2 linked regions of the Oryzias latipes genome follow. Each later gene encodes a partner of the first gene's protein in a complex. Links are inferred from orthologs where the notes say so. Each region holds a gene or a part of one and is shown on either strand. Other genes may lie near its edges. The genes, in order: plxnc1 and semaphorin-7A.

Region 1 (12,131 bases):
GAGAGGGAAAATCATCTCTTATTCAACGCATAAAAAACGCAAGGAGAAAGCAGATTTATTAGAATTAGGAAATAAAATAAAAACTCTGGAGACTGCTTATGCTGCTTCTGCACAGGAACACATACTGGGGGACCTGAAAAATTTAAAGCTGCAGTTAAATGACATCATCAATAAACAAACACAATTCCAGATACAAAGGCTTCGACTGGAAAGATATGAAAACTCAAATAAATCTGGCAAATTTCTAGCTAATCAGCTTAAAATTAATAAAGAAAAATCAACAATCACTTCGATTATGGACCAAACAGGGAATGTCACCCATGACCCGGTAAAAATTAATAATGCGTTTAAAGACTTTTATCAAAACTTATACACTCCACAGATCAATCCATCAGAACAAAGCATCAACTCATTTCTCAACAATATAAACCTGCCCAAGTTAAACGAAGATCAAATCACAAATTTAGACTCTCCGCTCTCGTTGTCTGAGCTTCATGAAGCTCTGTCACTTATGCCTAATGGTAAAGCACCAGGGCCTGACGGCTTTCCTGCAGAGTTTTATAAGGAATTCTGGGAACAACTGGCACCAACGTTTTATAAAACGGTAAAATTTATCAATGAAGGCCAATCTCTACCACCTAACATGAACTCTGCCAACATTATCCTTCTTCTAAAACCAGACAAAGACCCCACGAGTCCTTCAAGCTATCGCCCCATTTCTTTAATTAATGCAGATGTAAAAATTATCTGCAAAGCACTAGCACAGAGAATAGAAAAAGTCACTCCTCACATAATTGACTTTGATCAAACTGGATTCATCAAAGGCAGACACTCGGATGACAATGTCCGCAGACTCGTTAACATAATAGACTTTGCCACCATCAAAAACCAGGAAATGACTATACTATCACTGGATGCTGAAAAAGCCTTTGATAGAGTAAACTGGAAGTTCCTCATTGCTGCCCTCCATAAGTTTGGGTTTGGAGAATCATTCATCAATTGGATCAAAATATTATATCACAACCCCACTGCATCAGTTAGAACTAATAAACAGACTTCCAACAGGTTTTTTCTTGGAAGAGGAACTAGACAGGGTTGCCCACTCTCCCCCTCTCTTTTTGCAATATTTATCGAGCCTCTAGCTGCAGCAATAAGACAGAATGAGAGTATTAAAGGAATTAAAACCAAACACAGCCATCATAAAATTAGTCTCTATGCAGATGACATATTACTGTTTTTAAGTAATATACATTCTGTAAATGAAACGGCAACAATCATTAATGAATTCTCTTCTATATCAGACTATTCCATTAATTGGAATAAATCTGTTTTATTACCACTGAACAGTAATGCGGAGCAAGGACTCACAATACCAGTTAAATCAGGCAATATAAAATATCTAGGTATTTATTTTTCCCCCAAAATATCAGAACTGGTGCTGCTAAACTACACCCCATTACTGAAAAACATACAGGACGATCTAACACGCTGGACCAACCTGCCTTTGTCCCTTATGGGCAAGGTAGCCACGGTTAAAATGAAAATCTTACCCAAAGTTAATTATCTCTTCTCAATGATTCCCACACAACCGCCATTAAAATGGTTCAAAACATTAGACTCATCCATATCAAGCTTTCTATGGAACAATAAACCTGCAAGAATTAGTCTAAATACTTTAAAATCTGCAAAAAGCTGTGGAGGATTAGAATTACCTAACTTCCACAATTACTTTCTTGCAAATAGATTACAATACATCTTAAAATGGTTAAAAAATAATCCAGAAACCAACTCATGGTTAGACTTGGAACAGGCGTTATGTGGAAAGATCAACCTGTCAGATCTTCCATTTATTAGTCAAATAGTTAAAAGACAGGATTGTTTCAAAAGTATTAATATAAATGCCACCTTAACAGCCTGGTGGGAATTTCTCAAAATATCAAAATCATCAATTCAACCGTGCAAAATGACACCCATCTGGAACAACCCAGACATCCTCATAAACAAAAAAATTATCCACTTCCCAGCTTGGCAAGCAGGGGGCATAAAACAACTAGAGCACATAATTATTAATAGAAGATTCATAACTCCCCAGGAACTTCAAGACAAACATGGAATATATAACTTCTTGGAATATCAGCAACTTAAATCAATTATTACTAAAAAGTTTAAATACAGAGACAACGATTTAAAGCTACCAGATGTAGTTACCACTCTGATCAATTTCTCAATGAATAAAACTCTCTCCAAAATATACAAACTTTTATGTAATTTAGATAACAATATTTCACTTCCGACAACAAAATGGGATGCGGATTTGAGCATCAGCACAGATGAAAGTTTTTGGTCAGAACTTTGTCTAAACACCTTTAAAATGACAAAAAATCCAAATCTGCAGCTAATCCATTTCAAAACTCTTCACAGAATTTACTACACTGGACAGAGGATGTTCAAGATGGGTCTCAGTAACTCAGACATTTGTCAGCACTGTGACAGTAATCTACCCGACAATTACATGCATGCACTATGGTTCTGCACGCCTGTCCAGGCTCTCTGGCAGCAGGTATGTGCCGATCTATCAGTCTGGCTTAAGGTTTCAATCACTGCTTCACCGTCACTTTGTGTGCTTGTTGACATGAGTGCCATCGATGTAGAAGTAGGATTAGCATCTATCATTTTCATAACTCTTTGCATTGCTAAAAAAACTATTTTAATAAATTGGAAAAGCAAAAAAAATATAAATATAAGTCAACACAGAAATCTGCTGCTTGATCATATCAGCTTGGAAAAAATGTCAGCCCAAAGTTCAAGTAACTTTGAAAGAATTCGGTCTCTCTGGTCTCCCATAGCTAACTCCGTGACTTAGGGGGGGGGGGGGGGGCATGGTCGTCGCTGCTCCTTGCCCTTCTGCCGTGGGCCGGGGTGGGGGTCGGGGCCTCCGGTGCCTGGCCGGGGGTGGTGGGGGCTCCGTTGGTCGGGGGGTCGGGTCCGGCGCCTGGGTGGGGCGGCCTGGGGCGCTGCGTGGTCCTCTGGGCTTGGGTGTGGGGGTGCGTGGTGGGGGGTGGGGTGGTGGTCTGGCTTGGCTTGGGGGGGTGGTCCCTTTGCCTGTGCTGGGGGGGGTTGGCGGGGGGCGCTGCTCGGGGGGAGGGGCCCAGCGGCGCTGGATGGGCTTCCCGTCTACGCCTGGGGCTGGGATCGGCCCTTCCCTGGCTCTGGGGCGGGACGGGACAACCCTCTTGGGGCCCCCGGTCGCTCTGGGTGTCATCCGCTTCGGCTGCGGGGTCTGGGGGTGGGGTGGGGTGGGGGTCTTGTCGGCCCTGTCCTGTGGGGGGGCATTCTGGGGGAGGGGGGGGGGGCACTATTGGTACGGGGCAGGGGGGGTTGACGGGTCGGGGTCTCCGCTGAGGCCATCGGCGGTTTCCCCGGCCGGTTGGCTGCCTCGGTCCCGTCGAGGCCTGACCAGAGCTCTTCTAGGGCCGGCGTTTGGGGGTGGGGGCCTGGGCTTGCTCCGGGGGGGGCCGGCGCTTTCTGGCTCCCCTCTCTCTGTGTGGGGGTGGTGGTGCTGGGCCTGGGGTGTCTGCGCCTCCGGGGGTGGGGCCCCGGGGCTGGGTGGGCCTGGCCCCCTTGCTGGGGGGGGGGCGGGGGACGGCTGTTTGACCACCGGGGGACAGTCTATCATCTGTCCCCAACTTACCCCCTTCCTCATATAACCTCATAATAGGGTGAGGGGGTGGGGGGCTTAGCCTGCGATGAGCCTTGGGGGGGGGGTTTACTAGGCAGTGACCCCCCTCCTGTGGTTGCCGTATGGAGTGGGCCCCCCCTCTTTCGGTTTTATTTGCACCTTAGACATGTAGGGCCCTTGGTAGGGGGGGTGCTTGGACATCACTGCCAGCAAGCAGCGGATGTCCTCCTAGCACCCTACCCGCCAATTTTAACCGCACCTTAGACATTTAGGGCCCCTTGGTGGGGAGGGTGAGGGGACGTCACTGTGAGTAATCAGGAGACGTCCCCTTAGTGCCCTACCCGCCAATTTTAACCACACCCCCCTTAGTACACACACCCCTCCCCCCTCAATATATACATCCCAACATAAACACACACACATGCACACACACACTCTCTCAAACACACATACACGCACACACATTTTGCAAGGAAGGTGGGACCTGGGACCATCTGTCCCCTGCCTCTTCCCTGGTGGGGGGTACGGGCCCCTTTGCAACGGCGGCTGTGTCCCCGGGGTGCTGGCCTCCTGGGCCCGGCGGTGCTCTCTCCGCGCGGTGGGGGGGTTCACATTACATCTGAGCCGGGGGTGTTCGTGTCCCTGGGGGGTGGGTTCTGGTCCTTGCTCCTGAGTGCTGGGCCCTGCCAAATTTCCAACTGTGGCCGAGCCTGGTCGGGCCATATTTACAACACCCCTTGTGGGCCCTCTTTTTTTTCCCCGGGGTTCCCCCCTTCTGGGCGGGGGCGGCGGGCCCCTGCCTCGCTCCTCCCTGGACCAACCGTGGGCCGGGCGGATGGCTGCCTGGAGTGCGGAGTGGGTCTCCCTTGGGGGGTCCTGGCTCGTACCTGGGGTTGGGGCGGGGGGATGCCCGGAACTCCTGGGTGGTGGTGGGGTGCTCGTCTGGGGCTGTGGGCGTCCTTCTCCGGTGGGGCCCTGCGTTGGGTTCTCCCGGCGCGGCGGGGGGGCTGCTCTCCTGGTTGGGCTGGGGCGGCGCCCTCTTTCCCTCCGTGCCTCCCTGCTCTCTGGCTCTGGGGGCCTTGCGGCGGCCCTGCTGGCCCTGGCCTGGGTGGCGGGCTTGGTCGCCCGGGCGGCGGTTGTTCCCTGCCGGTTCCCGTGTGGCGTTGGGGGGATTCCGGCTGCCGCTGCTGGTGCGGTGGGGGTCTTGGGGTGGGGATGGCTGGGCACTCTCCCTCCTTCTTTTCACGTTCCACCATCCATTTTAGAAGAACATAAACACTCACCTGAGCACAGGTGTTAGCTCAACAGACTGAATGACTGAAATATTTCACACTAGTTGGTTTTAAGGCATAAGTATGCATGTGAACACTATCTGTTTTGTGTACATGTCGACAGGTGGACATTTTTGCAACTAACAGGTGTGTTTATAACATTTGAGTGTGTGTGTGGACAGGCTCCGCCCTCTTTTTTTTTTTTGTTTTTTTTTTCATTTGAACCTTACCATAATGATTAACAACCAGTAAACTTGCTGCTTTATGCTGCTTCATGGTCTTATCCCCCTTCCCCTCCTATTATCACCCCCTACCCCCCCTCTCTCTAACGTCCCTCTCTCTTGTTCCCCTCTTTCCTTTTCCGTCCGGTCCAACACCAAAGATTTTCAGACATGTTTGAAATTAATAAAGTTTGGCCTCAATTACAAAAGGGGTTTATTCAGACATACCTTTGGTTTGTCTGAAGATTAATAACCCCTCTTGTTAAAGTAAAATATGTCCAACCCAAGAGGCCCTCAGCTCTCATCTGTCTGCCTAGCTGTTGGACAGGACAAGTTAGAAAAAAAAAAAAAAAAAAAAAAAAAAAAAAAAAAATTACCATCTGGATTCAACTTGATTCATGTTTATTTTGCCTGCAGCACATTTTGTCATTGCAAACAGCCTCCAGTGTTTTATTGCTTTGATGTCTTCCAATATCATAAAGTGAACAAACTCATGTTGAGAATTATATCACTTTCACCTACACGAGTATCATAAGGGAGTATTGCTGACATCTACAGCCTCAGTCACAACTGCTCTTACAGGTGGATACGAGCTGTCTGCAGCTGAAAAACGGGACCAAATCTGCAGGAAGTTTTAAGATTGCAGACAACCTGAGAGCTTGTGGCCCGCCGACAGTAACACCTGCATCACAGCTTTTTCCAACAGTACTTTTTCATCTGCTCCAGAGTTACCACAATTTGAATAACAAAATATTCAGAAATGCCATTTTTAACTTAATTTTCTTTATAAAAGTCCTGCATCATGACAAAAATGTCACATGAAACATGTTAAAACACATGAAGCACGATTTTCAAAGGAGCAGGTCTTGAAGTGGTCATCTATAACAGTAAATTTAATGAATCGTGTCATTCTTATTGCTGCTAAAGTTACTCAACATACCCAGTAGGTGGCGGCATAGATTTACTCTTTTAAGCGACTGTTATATTACTGAGAAAAAGTCAGAAAGTGTTTTTAGAAGTCTTAAACTGCAAACATTGACCCTGAAAAATGTCTATTGATCCCTGATCCTCTGATTAGTTTTTAGAACTCTTTAGATAACATGCAGTGGTTGTTCAGGACTGATGAACACAACAACTCCTTCTGTCTTATTCTGTGGTGAGCTGGCATCAATGACAGCATCAGATCTGGTTCCAGTTGGTATCTGTATCTGTAGGAAGCAGAAAATAAACCGAGGAAAAGCTCACTACCTGAAAAAGCTCTGCAGTTCTCAGCGTTGGTGGATGCGCCGCCTCCTCGCCTCACGTCTAAGCACTTCTCCTTTGAGCTGTAATCTTCAGAGCAGAGTGACATGCAGACGGGGAGCTTGTGGAGGAAACAGCTTTGCTTCAACATGATCCTGCTTCTCTCTCTGCTGTTTCCCCTCTGGGCAGAACCTGCCGTGAGTCTGGAAGAGGACACAACTTTCACTTTGGAAGGAAAAGTGCGACACCTGGCCGTGGCTCCAGACGGAGTTTACATCGCCACGGAGGAGAAACTCTACCAGCTGAGCCACAACCTGACACCGCTGCACTGTCCCACTCTGAGGGGTCTGTCAGGTGGGGAGGGGCAGGGGGATGCTTCGCTTCATTGTGTCTCAGAAAGAGAATTATGGAAGTCAAATTTCACCGTCAACGTGCTCCTGCCTTTTGTGGCAAATAAAACTCTGCTCATCTGCGGCGTGACAGAGAAAAAACCACGAGGATACTGTGAGGTTCTGGACCTGAAGAACATTTCTAAAGTTCTGCACAGTGAAGACATTCAGGTGGGGCCACTGATGCAAAGCGACGCATCCATCAGCCTCCTGGTGGAACTGGAGAAGAATCCACCTCAGAAGGAAACTTACATTCTGACTGCCATACAGCAAGATCCAAATAAACCCAGTACTAGGTCTGATGCAAAGACAATTAATCTGCAGAACACGCTTGAGGCTCAAGACGGAGGTATATTTTCTCTCACTGAAGACCAAACCTTTACTCCGGTGATTGAAAGTAAGGGTACTGTGGAGTTTGTAGATGGCTTTCAGATCAACCAAACTATCTATATCCTCTCCAACGTGGACAAAAACAAAGTCCGTCTTCTTTGGCTTAAAGCTTCTAAAAGTAAAGAAGAAACTCTGGAATCTCTGGAAGCCGCTACGCTCAACATCAGTGGATGGGATGGGAGCAGATTGCTGGCCTCCTCGGTTGTCCCAGGTGGAGAGCGGGTGCTTTGGAGCGGGGTATTCTGTGTGGACAGAGGACAGACCAATACCCAGCTGGTTCTGTTTGACATCAGCCCTCCTGTCATCAATAATCCCAACAAGGAACCAGATTTCTACTTCAAGAAACCACCCACAAATGCGGTAAGTGGCTGAAGAATTCTTCTGTCCTGACACTAAAATCCTTTTTAAATGTTTCATTTTCTGCTGTCATTCCTGTGGTCAACAGTAAACTGGGAAATATTTGAAGTCCACAGATGCTGCTTAAGGGTGAATGGTGATAGATGTTTTAGCCCTCCTTGTCTTCTGACCTTTGAAAAGGGCGCATCCACACTCACCAGCCACTTTATTAGGTACATTTTGGAGTTTAGCATGGCTATTGCCTTGAGGAAAAGCTGTTTTTGAGTCTGTTTGTTTTGGCTCTGATGCCTCTGATGCGCCTCTCAGAGGGCAACAGGTGCTCTAGTGGGTTGAGATCTGATGACGGTGGAAGAAGAAACCAGTCTGAGATGATTCCAGTTTTCTGACATGGCGCCTTATCCTGCTGGAAGTAGCATAAGAAGATGGTCCACTGTGGCCAGAAAGGGATGGAAATGGTCAGCAACAATACTCAGGTAGGATATGGGGTTGGAACCATGCTCAACTGGTACTAAGAGGCCCAAAGTGTGCCAGGAAAATACTTTATGCCCCACACCATGACACCACCACCACCAGCCTGAACCGTTGATACAAGGCAGGATGGATCCATGCTTTCATGTTGTTGAGGCCAAATTCTGACCCTACCATCTGAATGTGGCAGCAGAAATGGAGACTCATCAGACCGGACAACGTTTTTCCATCTTCTGTTAAGATAAGATAAACTTTCTTTATCCCACAATGGGGAGATTCTCATCTTCGGCAGCAAAAAAGACATCCAGAAATATGACAGCAAAAAGTGGCATTCACATAAGATAAAGTGACCTTCAGAAAACATAAATGAGACAGAGGAACATCTGCATTGTCCTGTTCTGGTGATTCTGTGTGAATTGTAGCCTCAGTTTGCTGTTCTTAGCTGACAGCAGTGGTACCCGGTGTGGTCTTCTGCTACTGTAGTCCATCTGCCTCCAGGTTGGACGTGTTATTCTTTCAGAGATGATCTTCTGCAGACCTCGGTTGGAACCAGTGGTTCTTTGAGTTCCTGTTGTCTTTCTATCAGCTGGAACCAGTCTGGTTGTTCTGCCCACAGAACTGCTGCTAACTGGATCTTTTCTATTTTTGGCTGAAATTTATTATAATCACACAATCGAGCTGTGCAATATGCATATCGCAAAAGACGGAGAAAATTGCAATAAATTGTTATAATAAATGTACTAAAACCATCTTACGGCAGTTTGAAGTATTTAACGAATCCAATAAACCGATTTTTGCAATTGACCAATCCAATGTTGTTGACAAATCGGCTGGAGCTCTTTTATGTTAGATGTTCGCCTCCTATGTAACCGACGGTCATTTGGAGTTGAATTTTTAAACTGTTGCAGTGAAATGGAAATGATGTTTTTGGTTGTTTTGCTATTGGTTCATATATTGTCATTGCAATATTGATCACTAATATCGCGGGTTTTCCTCATATCGTGCAGCCCTACTCATTAGGAGTGTACATTAACCAACAGTGGAACAGATGTGCCTAAAAAGATGGCCAGTGAGTTTCCTATTCTACAGATACTTTCCTTCCACAGTCCAAAAACAAGCTTCACAGGTTAATTGATGACTCCACGTTGTCCTAATGTGAGAATGTGAATGTTTTTGGTCGTGTGGCCATGTGATGGACTGTTCAGGGTGTACCCCGCCCTTCACCAAACAGTAGCTGGGATAGGCTCCAGCAACCCTGTGACACTAAAAGACAATAAGCAGATTTGGAAAATAGATGGTTGGATGATGATTGAGACTGGCAATAAGAATGAAACAACTAAAAAATTTTGGGCAATGAATTAAAAGTTTGACTGCATTTAAACTAATGATTTTCTCTGAATAATCACAATTAATCACTGCAAAAATAATAGTGTATTAAATGTATTTGAAGGCAAAATTGAAGTTTGGAAAGTGTTTTTCTTAAAAAGCAAAGAGAATAAAGTTATTTAGAATCAAAACTGTAGTTAGTTTCACATTTCCTTTTCACATATTCAATAACTACGAACAATTAAATGTTTTTTTCTTGTCTCAAGGAAAAGCAGAACAGCCAGTGTTCAGTGAAAAGTAACCCTGTTAGAAAAAAAATAGACTAAAATCCCAACTAGGATTTTCTTTATGCTGAACTTGTCTGTTCATGATTTACAAACAGAAAACCTCCTCTACTTTGACCCCCCGATCATCCATGCTCAGAACATTGAGTTGAACAGTAAACTCCATCTAACGTGGCTGCACCATTTGTGATGTGATTAGTCACATCACCTAGTAGGGGTGGGATGGTGATGGGTTGAGCCGGGTCCTGGCTGGTTGGGTGGGCCGGGCCTACCGCTCTCCCGGCTTGGGCTCTGGTTGCTCGGGTGGGGGTGCGCACTCTGCCGGCAAATTGGCAGGGGTTCCTGGGCCGTTCCCGGTCAGTGCGGCTGACCGGGAACGGCGGCCGGGTGCCGTGCTGGGTGGCTGGTCGCTGTGGCGGGGGCTGGGGCTTGGGGTTGTGGGGCCTGGGGTCGTCTGCCCGCGGCCGATGTTTCACCCTTGGCCAGTAGTTGGCCATATATATATATATATATATATATATATATATATATATATATATATATATATATATATATATATATATATATATTATTGTTATTATTATTATTTTTTCTTATTTTTTTCTTTCTTTTTTTAATTGGGGGGGGCCTGGGGGGGCGGTGTGCTAGTCCTTAGGGAGGTCAGTGTCATGGTTTGAGTTTGTTTTGTCTTGGTTTTTGCTTTAGTGCTTGTTCTGTCTTGTTTGGTTCTGTTTCCTGTTTTATTTTGAAAGGTTTCCTGTCTTGTCATGTCTTGAGTTGTACTTCCTTGGTCCCCATCTGCCCTGATCGTGTTCACCTGTGTCTTGTCTACCCTGTCTGTATATAAGTCTTGTCTCTGCCTTCCTCTTGTGCTGGTCCGTTAACGTCTTCATGTGTCTTCGTCCCTTCATGCCATGTTCCATGTTCCTCGCCACGCCACAGTAAGCTTTGTTTTGTTTTGATTCCTGCTCTGCAGCGCCTTTTGTTTGTTATTAAACCCTCTTGCATTGGAACCGTGTGCCTCCTGCCTCTGCGTCTGGGTCCTACCTGCTCTCAAGCCCCCCTCACCCTGACAGAATGGACCAGCCATATTTTCTGGACCCAGCAGAGCGGCTGCTAGAGGCCTACTGCCAAGAAGCAGAGCGGACCAGGACATATTGGGTTTTCGACCAGGCCCAGTTTGCCTCATATGCCTGGAGTGGGAGCCACCTGGACTTTACTGGGAGCCATCTTGCCCTGAAGGGGGATCCTCGTGGTCGCCGCCACCGTCCCCGTCCACGACCCGTTTTTGTTCCGGCAGTGGTCCCGGATGCACCACATCCCCTTCCAGTGGTGGTCCCGGATGCACCCCTGCCCTGTCCTGTTCCGGAGGTGGTCCGGCACGCACCACAACCCCTTCCAGTGGTGGTCCCGGATGCACCCCAGCCCTGTCCTGTTCCAGAGGTGGTCCGGCACGCACCACAACCCCTTCCAGTGGTGGTCCCGGATGCACCCCAGCCCCGTCCTGTTCCGGAGGTGGTCCGGCACGCACCACGACCCCTTCCAGTGGTGGTCCCGGATGCACCCCAGCCCCGTCCTGTTCCGGAGGTGGTCCCGGATGCACCACATCCTGTGCTAGTGGTGGTCCTGGCACCGGGCCCCTTCTTTGCTGGCCGTCTATCGGCGCTGCGAGCCTCTATCTGCGGCTGGCTTTCCGCCTCCTGACTGCCTGGCCGCCCTGGGAGGGGGGGCGCCTACCGCGGCCGGCTGGGGGGCCGGTCGCTCGGGGGAGCCTTCTTCCCCCGGTTGTGCCCATCCGCCTACTCCTCCCCGCCGTCACCCAAACAAATGTTGTACATAGGGCTCCGGGAACTGGATGGGTGGGGTATGCTGGCGGGGCTCACTGGGGGTGTTTCTCTCTCTGGGGTCGCGTCGGCGCCCGCCCTCCATCCCGGTTTTACTTGGGCCTTATGTGGAGGGTTTGGTGGAACACATTGCACGTTAGCAGCACACACACAGCAAATACACAGCACACACAGAGGGACCCCGGAGTGGCTGGTCCTCTCAGGGCGGCCGGGCTTGTGGGTATCCTGTCGGCTGCGGTAATGGAGATACTTATTCATGCATTTGTCTCCAGTAGGTTAGACTACTGTAACGGCCTGCTCACCGGCCTCTCCAAACGAGCTGTAAAACAGCTTCAGTACATCCAGAATGCTGCTGCTCGAGTCCTGACCAAAACCAGGAAGTATGATCACATTAGTCCTGTGCTCAGGTCTTTGCACTGGCTCCCTGTACCTCAAAGAATAGACTTCAAAGCAGCTCTGCTTGTGTACAAGTCTCTCCATGGCCACGCACCAAAGTACATCTCTGACATGTTAGTGCCATATGAACCATCTCGTACTCTGAGGACCTCAGGGGCCGGCCTCCTGTTGATACCCAGAGTCAGAACTAAACAAGGGGAATCAGCGTTTCAATATTCTGCAGCTAAAATCTGGAACAGCATGGGTGGGACGGACCTGGGGGCT
Region 2 (12,041 bases), on another chromosome or scaffold:
GGGAGCCGGCACCCAAGGGACACGGCCGCCATCGCCAAGGGGCCCGCACCCCCCACCAGGGAAGGGGTAGGGGACAGATGGACCCAGGTCCCACCTTCCTTGTAAAATGTGTGTGCGTGTATGGGTGTTTGAGAGGGTGTTTGTGTGCATGTGTGTGTGTTTATGTTTGAATGTATATATTGAAGGGGGAGGGGTGTGTGTACTAAGGGGGGTGCAGTTAAAATTGGCGAGTAGGGCACTAAGGGGACATCTCCTGATTACTCACAGTGATGTCCCCTCACCCTCCACACCAAGGGGCCCTAAATGTCTAAGGTGCGGTTAAAATTGGCGGGTAGGGTGCCAGGAGGACATCTGCTGCTTGCTTGCAGTGATGTCCAAGCACCCCCCCTACCAAGGACCCTACATGTCTAAGGTGCAAATAAAACCGAAAGAGGGGGGGCCCACTCCATACGGCAACCATAGGAGGGGGGCCACTCCCAAGTAGCCCCCCCCCCAAGGCGCATCGCAGGCTAGACCCCCCACCCCCTCACCCTAATATGAGGTTATATAAGGAAGGGGGTAAGTTGGGGACAGCTGGTAGACTGTCCCCCGGTGGTCAAACAGCCGTCCCCCAGCCCACCCCCAGCAAAGGGGCCAGGGCCACCCAGCCCAGGGGCCCACCCCCGGAGGCGCCGACACCCCAGGCCCGGCACCACCCACCCCACACAGAGAGAGGACAAGCAAAGTTTTTAGTTCATCATTTGCTATTAGTAAAGTTCTAGCAAACTCACTAAACTCATATCTAATATCCACTTCATTTGAGCAAAATTGTGCTCTCTTTGTTGGAAGACCAAAGGGAAACTTGTCAATGCAGGTTATAGTTTCACTTCACATCATCATATTATCATTTTGATGCATTGAACTCTTTCAAGTTTGGGAAAATGAAATCTACAAAGTGAACGCAGCAACACATCTTTTTTTCTATTTTCTGTGCTCATTATTATATTGTTACAAAATAAACATGTAACTATTAGAAAACGGTTTAACTAAATATTCCCACATCTGTTTCATAGTCTAAACCAAAACTGTTGGTAAATCCAGTTTTATTGATATCTGTTCACAGAAAGAGACTTGACTCAAAGACCATCTCCAATAAAAATTGTGTTTTTGGTGTTTTTAAAATATTGATCTAGAATTTTTCTGATTTAAAAAAACTGTGTTTCTCAGTATGTATTCAAATCATTGTGAATCAGGAGCAGATAAAAAAACATTCAGATTGAAAACGTTTAAGCGACAAGCTCTCTGCTCCTCTCCATTCAGATTCATTCGATCATTCACAAATAAATCCAATATTGTCTTCATCATCTTCAAACAAGCTGGCATCTGGCTCAAAACTGTACGACTGGATAGTTCCAATATTCATTCATTTTCTTAACCGTTTTGTCCCTTTCGGGTCACGGGGCTGCCGGAGCCTATCCCGGCCACTTTTGGGTGAAGGCAGGGGACAACCTGGACAGGTAGCCAGTCTGTCGCAGGGTAGAATGTCCACAATCACACACCCATTCACTCTCACACTCACACCTAGGGACAATTTAGATTGGCCAATTAACCTATGCAGCATGTTTTTGGATGGTGGGAGGAAGCCGGAGACCCCGGAGAGAACCCACGCATGCACAGGGAGAACATGCAAACTCTACACAGAAAGATCCCCTGTTGATGTAGTTTTTCATCTCCCCCAGCCGGGACTTGAACCTGAGGCCTTCTTGCTGTGAGGCAAGAAGGCCTCACAGTAAGAAGGCTAACCACTGCGCCACCGTGCAGCCTAGTTCCAACATTGTTCGCCCTTTTTTGTTGCACTGGTAATCTTAGGTTGGGGGTGTGAGGGGCTGGAAGCCAGCAGGAAAGAGTGTAAACAAAGGGATGAAGGGGAATGAACGCAGGCTTACTTCCTGCCAACAGTCCCACCCACAACTCAGAGGGGAATTTCCGAAACTCCTACCGCTCTGCTGAAAAATTGTTAAAGAGAATGACAGGTTTTGGGATTTTGGCTAAAAATGACATGGTTGGAAGATCATAGAACTTTAAAAACTATTCTAAATAAGATCAAAATTGTTGCCAGAAATACTGTGATTATTTAACAAATGATGAGAAGATTCTTTTATTCCACCTTTTCAAAGTCAAACATCCGTGTTAATTGAAAGCTGTAAAAACCATTAAACTCTTCAACTTCTCTTCCATAAACAGCTGGAAAAAAAATGTGTGCTATAACAAGAAGTTAAGGGCTGCATGTCTGTGTTTAACTAAATCCATCTCTGGAGAAATCTACTTTTAACCCTTGTGCTATCCTGGGCACTTTAACATTGGGAGTTGGGTCATCTAGACCCACTAGACAGTGCTCTGAACCTTTTTTCTTCAATGATTTGTGATCTTCACTGGTGTCCATGGATTACATGAAATCTTTCCACCTTTATCCACCTTTTTCATGGCAGGAATAACATGTCAATGTAAGGGTGGGGTCATCTAAGATAGCACAAGAGTTACACGACAAGCTTCATGGGGACGAGTCATCATCAATCCTCCATTCTAAAGACAGAGGAGTCTTTTGTTCCAAAGGCTTTCACTCATTGACAACAAAAACAGATGCAGAAAAAAGAAATTCAGGTGTCGTACTCCTCAAGGTTCGAAACAGGTTATAATAATTAAACGGTTGTTTAAAATATGGTCTGCTGCAACAGAACAAGGAATGCATCTTTAAGTGTAGAGATTCATAAGTGTGTTTTTTTTTGTTCTCACAAACCTAAATTTGTTCTTTCTCTTTTTCTCTCAGACATTCAATCGCTTGTGCTCGGCCATACCCTTGAATCTTCAAAAGGTCAGCTGAGCACAAACAAAGACAAACATCCTCATTTTCTCTAGCTTGCCTGATTAAAAGGTTTAATTAAAAGGCAATTACAGACACATGTTCTTAGAAGTAAAAGCATTTTGAATTAGTGAGTCATTTTTAAAGGCAGAAATATGCAAATTGAGGAAAGGAGAGCAACTTTGGTGGGTTAGTCTGAAAGGAAAAGGCATTTACTGGAAGAAAAAAAAAAACGCAGAGCCAAAGTTCAGTGATCAAGAACCCATTGAAGATTTCTCCATTTAGTTCCATCAAACCAAATGAAAAACACATTTCAGAAAATGTTTTACTGTCTTCACCCAAGAATTCAATTCAATTTTATTTGTATAGCCCAAATTCACAACAACAGTCGTCTAGATGGGCTTTGAAGGATGCCATGTTCTTGTTTTTTTGTTCCTTCTGGACTTTGTTTTTCTTGTAATATCACTGTCAGGTCATAGATATGTATTCAGTTCACAAAGTAAAGAGAGGCTGACTTTTTTTTTTCATTTATTCATTGAATAATCCAAATCCTAATCCTTTCAGCAAACCCCTAAAAGAAATGAAAAGCACAAAGCTTCGGTCCTGTTTTTAATCCTGAACAAATACACGAACGCCTAATACATGAGAAAAAAAAGAAACTATTATAAAAGCAACCGCAGCTATGCAAATCAACACTTTTAGTAATTGTGATGCAAAAGGTGCCTCTCGCAGCAAAAAAACCCAACTCAACAAAGACGTCATTTACTTTAGCAGCAGCTCTGAGGCTTTTTAGCTCATTCCAGCAAGCTGCTTTTGCTTTTAAATGATGGCTTTAGTGGCACTGTTCTGATTCTGTCACTGCCTTTCCAGTAGCAGCAGGCAGCTTTTTGATAAGACAGGTTTGATCAGACAATACAAGAAAACACATCTCCCTGCCATGGGAGCAGCAGACAACAAAATATGAAGCTCCTTGGATGCTAAAGAGTCATTTAGTTATCTCGGGAGGATGATGGCCAAATTAAATCTAAAATTGAGTGATTGTTGAACTTTACTTCAGCATGTGGGCAGAATCACGATTCCAAATGCTAAATGGTGTCAAAAATGTGTGTATCAGGTGTAAAAGAGGAGGCAGCCTGCGTTTAAAGGCCAAACTGTTTAGATTTCTGATCAAATGTGGTTCAACAAACACAATATAATTTGGCTTTTTAGATATTTTACATGAAACTGATGTAATTGTAGAAGGGTAAAATGCAGCAAAAAAGGCAGAAAAAAAGCAACTTCATTTTTTTTTTCCAATGAAAATTGTTGGTGCAGTTTATGTACTTGGTCTATGTGTTTCTGTTACTAAACATTCAAATGTTCTGGACTTGTTTGAGACTTTCTGCTCCAGGAGTTTTGCCCACCACCTATCTGTCACAAAACATTAACTGGCGATAAAGTATAAGGCACATGAGAATTTAGTTTGACTTCATAAGAACCTTAACCACACAAATCAAATTGGTAATGTATGTCTCAAGGGCTGGACTATAATTGAATTGTATTTTAGTTCCCTTTATAGTCGCTTAAAATTGTGCCTTGATCTTGTTGTAAATGTGGAAGAAGAAACAGAAAATGATTATTTTATCCAAGAAAAAGCCTCTAAATAACCCCATTCAAAGCTAGAATCCCCTTGTTTTAAAACTGTTTTTAAACAACCTTGGTTTCATTTGATTAAATTTAACATAGCAGAAGAAAATTTAAAACATTTTTTCAGGATTTCAACAGGTGTAAACACCAGAGTAAAACCCCAAGCTCGATTTTCTGAAGGTGAAAAAAAGGTCTCCAAATGCTAACTTCCTGAGGAACACCTCGGAGCTGTCCGAGGTCCTGAACCAGCTTTTAAAAAAATCTTTCCTGTTTTCCCCCCAAATCCCCTGAACGTCTTCCTGTCCCGGAGTCAGCAATTCTATAAGAACAGTTTGATTGATATGACACGCACGTCCACCAGCGGCATCTTGAGCTCCACCACGAAGAGAGAAGCGATTCAGATAACTTGACAACAGCCCACACCTCTATTGATTGCTGAATACATTAGAGATTTGTGTGGGGTGTAAAAAATAATAAATAAACTTTAAAAAACGGGGGGGGGGGGGGGACTCGTGAGTGGAATAGATAACGGGGTCTGTGCTCGGAATTTTCCACTCCACACTCTTCCCCCAATCATGTCCCCTCATTGTCTGCTTTTCTGAAGCCCGCGTCCAGCTGTGCGTGCTTTCCCTCCACTGTGAGGCTGAGCTCTCCCGACTCCTCTGCTGCAGTGGGAAGCAGCTGTACGTGTCCCGCATTGCAGCTCCGCAAGGACGCGGAGCCACAATGACTGTATCAACCGCTACAGAGCGATATTTCACAATAACGACGCTTTTCGGCGATGACAGCCGCAGCCTTCGCAGGACAAAAAAAGACGCCATGATCCCCCTCCTCCTTCAGAGGACGAGAGGTCGCCTTTGAACGCCTGGGGGTTGATTATCCCTCTGTGCGTCTGACGCGGAGACAGAGAGACATCGGAGCCTTTGAGAACTTGTGTCATAAATGGGAATCAAAAAGGAAAAAACAAGAAAGTTGCATATTTACGCATACAAAACTAAATGGACCCAAATGGACAGAAAACATACTGAGTTTATTGGTCTCACAGATTTTCCAGGTTTTCATTCAGATCACCTGACTATGTTTGCAGGCCTGGATGCTGGAGCGCGTAATTTACAACTCAAATGAAGGAGGGAGGGTCTGTTAGGGAGATTAATCGGGACGCAGTTCTCCGATGAAGGCTTGATATGCGCTCATAGTACATGGCAAAGAGAAGACACCCGCACTTTAAAAGAGCAGATCAACCATGAAGGGGCGCATCAACCCCAAGATGCTCAATCCAATCATCTGTCCACCCCCTCCAGCCAAGACTCCAAGGCTCAACACAGAACAGAAAACGGAGCAGTAAAACATGCGGACAAAACCAACGGCGGCTTACCGTGCACCACAAATTTCAGCCTGGGCGCCTTTCCCGCAACGACCGAGGCCAAAAGTGCCAGGAGGACCAACGAATTCATCTTGCTTTTGAGGTCTGCTGTTCTCCACGATGCGCTCCGTCTGAAGTCCTGTCCTCTCTCCACTCAGGTCCCTCCCCGATCTGCTGTGTCCCATAGGCTGTGCCAACCACCGCTGCTCCCAGATACGTCTGCTCTTCCAGAGGTTCCAGGGGCTCATAACATTTGGGGTGTCTGGCTTCAGGGAGACGACAGGCAGCGGGGGGAGTGATGCTTTGCAGGAGCAAAATGAATACATTGACTTCGTGTTATTCCAAATCCACGATTATGAATTATGCTCCCCATACCTGTTGCTGAAAAGATGATTTTATGTTTGGATGGCCAAACAAACATCTAACTGTTTTTATACTTTCTATTTTTCTTAAATTTGTATAATCTTTGGATGTAACTGCATCCAAAGTAACCTCAAATTAACCGTTTCTCCATCTGTTTCAAGAGTGTAAGATGAATTCGACTCTCACATTTTTGAATTAAAAGTCACAAATATGAAGAAGCGTGAATGGGGAATAACCGCCAGGAGAGGCTTCATAAATGCCTTCTTTTCATTCACAGGAAAATTATAGCTGCAGGCAGGCGCCGAGCAAAGCCTCATCTGCGCCTTTATGAGAGCTCTCTGCAGAGCAGCGCGCCATGGAGTGGAATAAATCAGCAGGATGTTACTCTAAAAATCAGGGAGAAAAAGAGGCATTCCGGTTTCTCATTCACTTCAGATGCCACACAGACGACAAAACGAGCAGAAATCCACCCACGTGATCTGCATTAAAATAGCTTGAACTGCCTCTGTAATCAATCATTTGAAGCCGATTCAGATCTGATCTTTGAAGTGTTTGTATTTGCTGAAAATTTGAGCAACCATAAGTTTAATATCTTCAGTCACATTCGGTTATTTGGTCATTTTAAGACCAGATCCCTGTTTTATTTTTTTAGGAACAGATTAACACAATACAGCATAAACGTTCAATCTGCAGTCCACCACGCAGTTTCAGAATGTTTTTCCCTTCCCAACTAACGTTTTTCTATCCGTGTATAACTGGGATTACATGCTTTGTCGATTTAAGACTTCAATCCTCAGAGATTTTTGTTTTGTTGACTTTATGTTTCCCACATTTCACCACTAGATGGCAGCAAAGGCAGAGTTTTCCGACTGGTTTTCACAATAACTTTATGTTTCTTACATCATTGCATCTGAACGTCCTGTTCCCACTTCAGAGGTTCAGTGTGCTGATGTTTTATTATTAAGATGACCTATTGGATAGAATACATACATATATGTTAGTATGGGATTCATAAAATACAACTTTTCCTAAAGGATAGATTTTAGATTTTCATTAAAATCTTATACACAAATTCATGGAGAGAAAAGCTAAATCAAATTCAAAATGATGTGGAGATTAAAGGTGGGCTGCCTGTGATTCCTGGCTGCCATGCACAATATTTCAAGTGGGTTTCAGATTTCCTTCTGATTGGTCTCTTTTGAAACAAAAAGGTCAGACTTGGGCTGCGGACAAAAATATCCTGACGATATGTCATTTGTTCAGTTTTTTTTTTTTGTAAGATCCATGTAAAATCTGTAAGTTTTGGTTGTTTTAAATCAATATCTCGGAATCTGGAGGAAGAAAGCTGCTTGAGACTGATCAAGACAAAGTTTCAGTTGTTCAGTTTCATGAACATTTTTTTCAACTGTATCTGTTGATTTCCTGTGTTTTATTTGGTTAAAAGTCAACGCTGTCATCTACCAGGATGTTTCTGAACACTTCTAGCTTCAAACTGCTCACTACTTTTGTGAAGATGGTGCGTTTTATTTCCCAGCAGGACTTGGACCTTGTGCACACTTTGCCAAAAATATCAGAGGCAAGAGATCCCTGTGGCTGATTGGCAGGAAATTCACCTGAACTGAAGGAACCTTAGGAGGAAGAGACAACAACTCAACACAGAAAACTCAAGGAGATCTATCAGAGCAACATCCCAGCAATCCCAGGTTGAATCTTACATTTCTGTAAATGAAACTTTAGTAGATTGTGTTTTCAATATTTATAAAGTACATTTTTGCGATTCCTATTTAAGCATAAGACAGAGAATACAATAAAGCTGCTTGTGAACACAGCTTCAGCTTATTGGGATTTACCTTGAAGCACCCTCTTTCATCTGCAGTCAGACGGCTTTAGGCTTCACTTTGATTTACTTACAAAACACTTGATTGAGGAAAATGGCTTTTGCTTGTTAAACCTAATGAGTCTATTTAGTTTGTGCTCTCAGCACAACTGCCGGGTTTAAATCAGAACATCAGCAGATCACAGGGACTAATGACGGCGAATCCAGAGAATGAGGATGAGAATGATTGTTTTTCACCTAGTTGGGTCCAATTTAAAACTTACTCCGCAGATCCTGACACAGATCAGCGTAAACAAGACATTTGCATTAAGCATAGGGAAAAATTAAGTTTCTGATGTCACTTTTCATGCTGGAATTTGAACTATTAATGGATTTAACTTTTTACAGTTGTGTAGACTATTAAAAGTCCCACTCAGATCAAATTTTGACCTGTTGTTTTAACCATGATAATGCAGTTTTTAGCCAAAATGTAAAAAAAAGAAAAAGTTCGTTTTTGGGACACAGTTTCTGCAAAGCGGCAGGAGTTCATTAGTAATTCGCCTTCAAGTTGTGGGCGGGACCAATGGTGTGGAGCAAGCAAACCCCCTTTCCCCTCCCCATTCTTGAGAGCTCTATGTTTATGCACTCTCTCTCTAGCTCACAGCCTCTTACACCACAAGCTAATATTACTTGAAAATACGAAAATGGTGAGCAACATTGGAGCTATCCAGCCATACAGTTTTGTGCCAGATGTCAGCTCGAATGAGAAGAACAAAGACATTGATGGAGTCGTCGACAAGCATCAGAATGGAGCGGAGCAGGGAGCTTGTGGCCCGCCCGGCATATTTTATGTCACAAATAAGCTCTCTTTCAATCACTATTTTTGCATCTGCTCCTAAATAAACAATGATCTGGAAAATACATACTCAGAAAAGTCATTTTGAGCTTAATTTTATTTATTTATGTCAAGAACATGTTAAAAACACAAAAAACACCTTTTTTATTTTGGTGAGTCTTTCAGGACTGTATTTATTGACTCCATAGTTGAGTAATTTGGTTAAAAGGGCAATAATAAAATTAATAAAATAAGAAAAAATACTATTTTTAATGATTTAGTTGAGCTGTAATTTAATTTTTTTCTGGGAAAAACGGATTAAAGTTTACTGACAGCAGATGTGAGGAGACCACAATATTCTTTGGGGTGTATGACAGTCATGGGATATGGGAGGGGCTTCGGAGCACCACTTTAATCTCCTCCCTTGGCTTTCTGTCCAATGGGAGCAAATGGTTATATTAAAATAGATAATATGACAGGCCAGGCTGGGCAGGAGGATAGCACCCACCAGACAGACCTATATAACAGATTGAGACGTGCCGAGGTAATCCAAAAGGGTTTAAATCTCTGCTCATACACGTGATAATCACTTTTTTCCCCTCCTCGCTTTTCTGGGTTATTCTGGGGATGACACGAACAAAATTATCTACTGTTCAGTGAATTCGTTTGAGTCTCTCAACCTCTACAGTGAAATGATGGTAGCGCTTGGGTTTAATATTTGCTGAGTTTCACTCTCAGCCTCAGAGCTGTGCAATGAAAGAGACCTGAAAATACGAGATAAATTGAGTTTAAACTGAGAGTATATTTCTGCAGGTTAAATCTCACAATCTGTCATTCATTCATTCATCTTCTTCCGTTTTGTCCCTTTCGAGGTCATGGGGCTGCTGGAGCCTATCCTACATCCTAGACAGGTCGTCAGTCTGTCGCAGGGCCACATATCACACACTTAGGCAGATTCACACCTACGGACAATTTAGAGTAACAAATTAACCTATTAAACCTGTTTTTGGACTTTGTCATATTTACAGAAAATAAAAACCAAAACATGTGCATTTGGTTCACTAAAAGGAATCAGTCATTTCTCACAAAGAAAATCTTCCCTCAGTTTGAAGCTCACAAATGAAGAACTTCAGTCTTTGTTTTTATCTACTGTAATGATATTTTGTAGATACAAAAACATTCAGAAAAAAACAAGAGCAGGTTCAAACCGGTATTTAATGACAACATGAAAATATTTTACAGCAAAAAAACAATTATGTCAATCTTGCACAACTTCATTTCAGGCATGGTTAAGTGTTTTTGTACACAGCCTAATGCATCTACTCAGTTTGGTATACAAGACGGGCATATGTGAGTGACACTAATCCCCAGGACTGGATAAAATTATAGAATATACGTAGGACACAAGTCAACCTTGACCTAAATATTTACAAGATAACGCAGATCAAGGACAGCATTCTCTCTGTCGATGGTGAGACTGTCAGTGAGGCACATAGTTTTCAGCGTTTCGTTCGGATACAAAATATATATAAAATCATAGCATGCTGAGACAGAAAATAACAAAAGGAAAGGTGCAGTTGATCTAAAAAAAAAACTTGTAAAAGTATAAAACAGTTAAGTATACATTGCCATTTACATGGCTACCTAACACAGATGCCTAAACCTTCCAAACCTTAACATTCTAAAAAGGTCTAAAGTGTCTAAATTTTAGGAAGAGAGTAGGAATATATTTGGCTATTCTATTCCAAACATGGATATCAAAGCTTTACTCACAAGTTAAAGTCTTAAAACCAAAGCAGAATTTGTGTAAAAGGGTCGAATATGGCAAAGCAGAGACAGTAAATAAGTCTATCAGTCCAACATGGATGATCAAACAGCACTTATTGTCTTTTACCACTGTGATTTAGTCTTCAAAGACTAAAATGTATTCAATTCATTTTTTACAAGTTCATGCTTTATATAAAAGAAACCAATGATGCATATTGACTCAATGTTTACTGAAATTAAATGTACACAAACTGAGACACCTCTGTCTACATAATGATGTTCACCCCAAGGACTGTACGATCATTAGTTTCAAAACACAGGCGAGAAGATGCCTGGATGTAACTTTCAGCTACAAAAGTAGAAGAAGGCTGGCACAGGAGCAAGAAACTCTTTTTGATCAGGCATCTGGAGAAGCCTTTGATACCAGGTGTCCATCTCCAGAGTAGCAGTGTGAGTTCATAGTGCAGAAAAATTCACAGAAACTTCCTTCGATTGGTCTAAATAAGTTTCATGGTAAACCTGCCGCCATCGGCGCCATCCCCTCCTCCACCGACAGAAGAGCGTGGAACAAAGTCAATCGTTGCCGTGTGCTTGATCTGACCTTTGCTCTGGCTCCAGAAGAACATGAAGACGAAACAGATGGCCACCGAGCTGAGGAAGGACAGGAAGCCCATAGTGGTGGCAATGATCAGCGTCTTGGCATCAAATGGGTATGGCTTGGCCATTTGAGCAGAGGAGTTGGCGTTTTGGAGGTCTGGGGGCTCGACCCAGCTTTCTTCCAGAAAGAAAGGGGTCGTTTTGTTACGAGGGACCCCTTTCACATACAACCCAACAGACATGCTGTCATTGCCTGCAGCGTTGACTGCCAAGCACTGATATGTGCCGCTGTCCTGAACTTGGGCAAAGCGGACTTCCAGAGTTCCATTCGGTAGAACTCTGATTCTTCCTGTGGGGGAAACTGTGTTCTTATGAGAGGAGATCCAGGTGATGGTTGGAAATGGATCCCCATCAGCCTTGCAGGAAAAGAGAACTGTGGTGCCCTCCTCAACCCTCGCCTCCTGCGGCCTGCGGTCCATAATACGAGCCGGCCGACACGTGAAGAGCCTGACGAGTTCCTTCTCAGAAAAGTCTCTGAACTCGCGCTGCTGTACAGCGTCAGGAGAAGAACAGGTGGGCTGGTGGCCGTCAAAGTTTAAGCGCTGCCTGCGCCGCATCACCCAGAGAAGCCGGCAGTCACATGCAAGGGGATTCCCGTCCAAACGCAACACCTGAAGGTTCCCCACGGAGTGGAAAGCGCTCTCCTCCAAAGTAGTGAGCATGTTGGATGTTACGTTAAGCATTCGAAAGAAGGACAGGCCCTTAAAGGCTCCTGGTTCTATTCGTAGCAGGCTTGCCCCAGCTAGATGTAATTCTTGGAGTCTCAGAAGGTCCC

Evidence for each region.
Region 2: the proteins of plxnc1 (region 1) and semaphorin-7A are in contact, whole or in part, in a crystal structure (PDB 3NVQ), measured with the Homo sapiens proteins. The link is inferred for Oryzias latipes from reciprocal best matches to the Homo sapiens genes PLXNC1 and SEMA7A. Residues at the interface, in NP_005752.1 of Homo sapiens: Arg131, Thr151, Glu152, Val153, Asn195, Pro196, Ala197, Ala198, Ser199, Asp200, His201, Thr203, Ala206, Lys208, Arg213, Ser214, Leu215, Ala216, Thr217, Gln218, Glu219, Leu220, Arg222, Lys224, Glu272, Ala350, Ser352, His353; in NP_003603.1 of Homo sapiens: Gln194, Tyr196, Asn197, Gly198, Lys199, Arg202, Arg204, Tyr213, Ser215, Asp216, Thr217, Gln270, Gly271, Gly272, Glu273, Ser274, Ser275, Leu276, Val278, Ser279, Lys280, Pro372, Thr375, Glu376, Phe378, Gln379, Asp382, Arg383.

Annotation. Positions count from the first base shown.
Region 1 is NC_019881.2:2,527,925-2,540,055, forward strand, and holds the start of plxnc1 (plexin-C1), read left to right. Parts: upstream 1-6,480; 5' UTR 6,481-6,520; coding exon 6,521-7,552; intron 7,553-12,131.
Region 2 is NC_019874.2:26,905,549-26,917,589, forward strand, and holds the start of semaphorin-7A, read right to left. Parts: upstream 7,729-12,041; 5' UTR 5,920-7,728; coding exon 5,841-5,919; exon of another isoform or gene 5,084-5,840; intron 1-5,083. Other genes in the region: leucine-rich repeat and immunoglobulin-like domain-containing nogo receptor-interacting protein 1, read right to left, coding at 11,107-12,041. UniProt on the Homo sapiens protein: Plays an important role in integrin-mediated signaling and functions both in regulating cell migration and immune responses.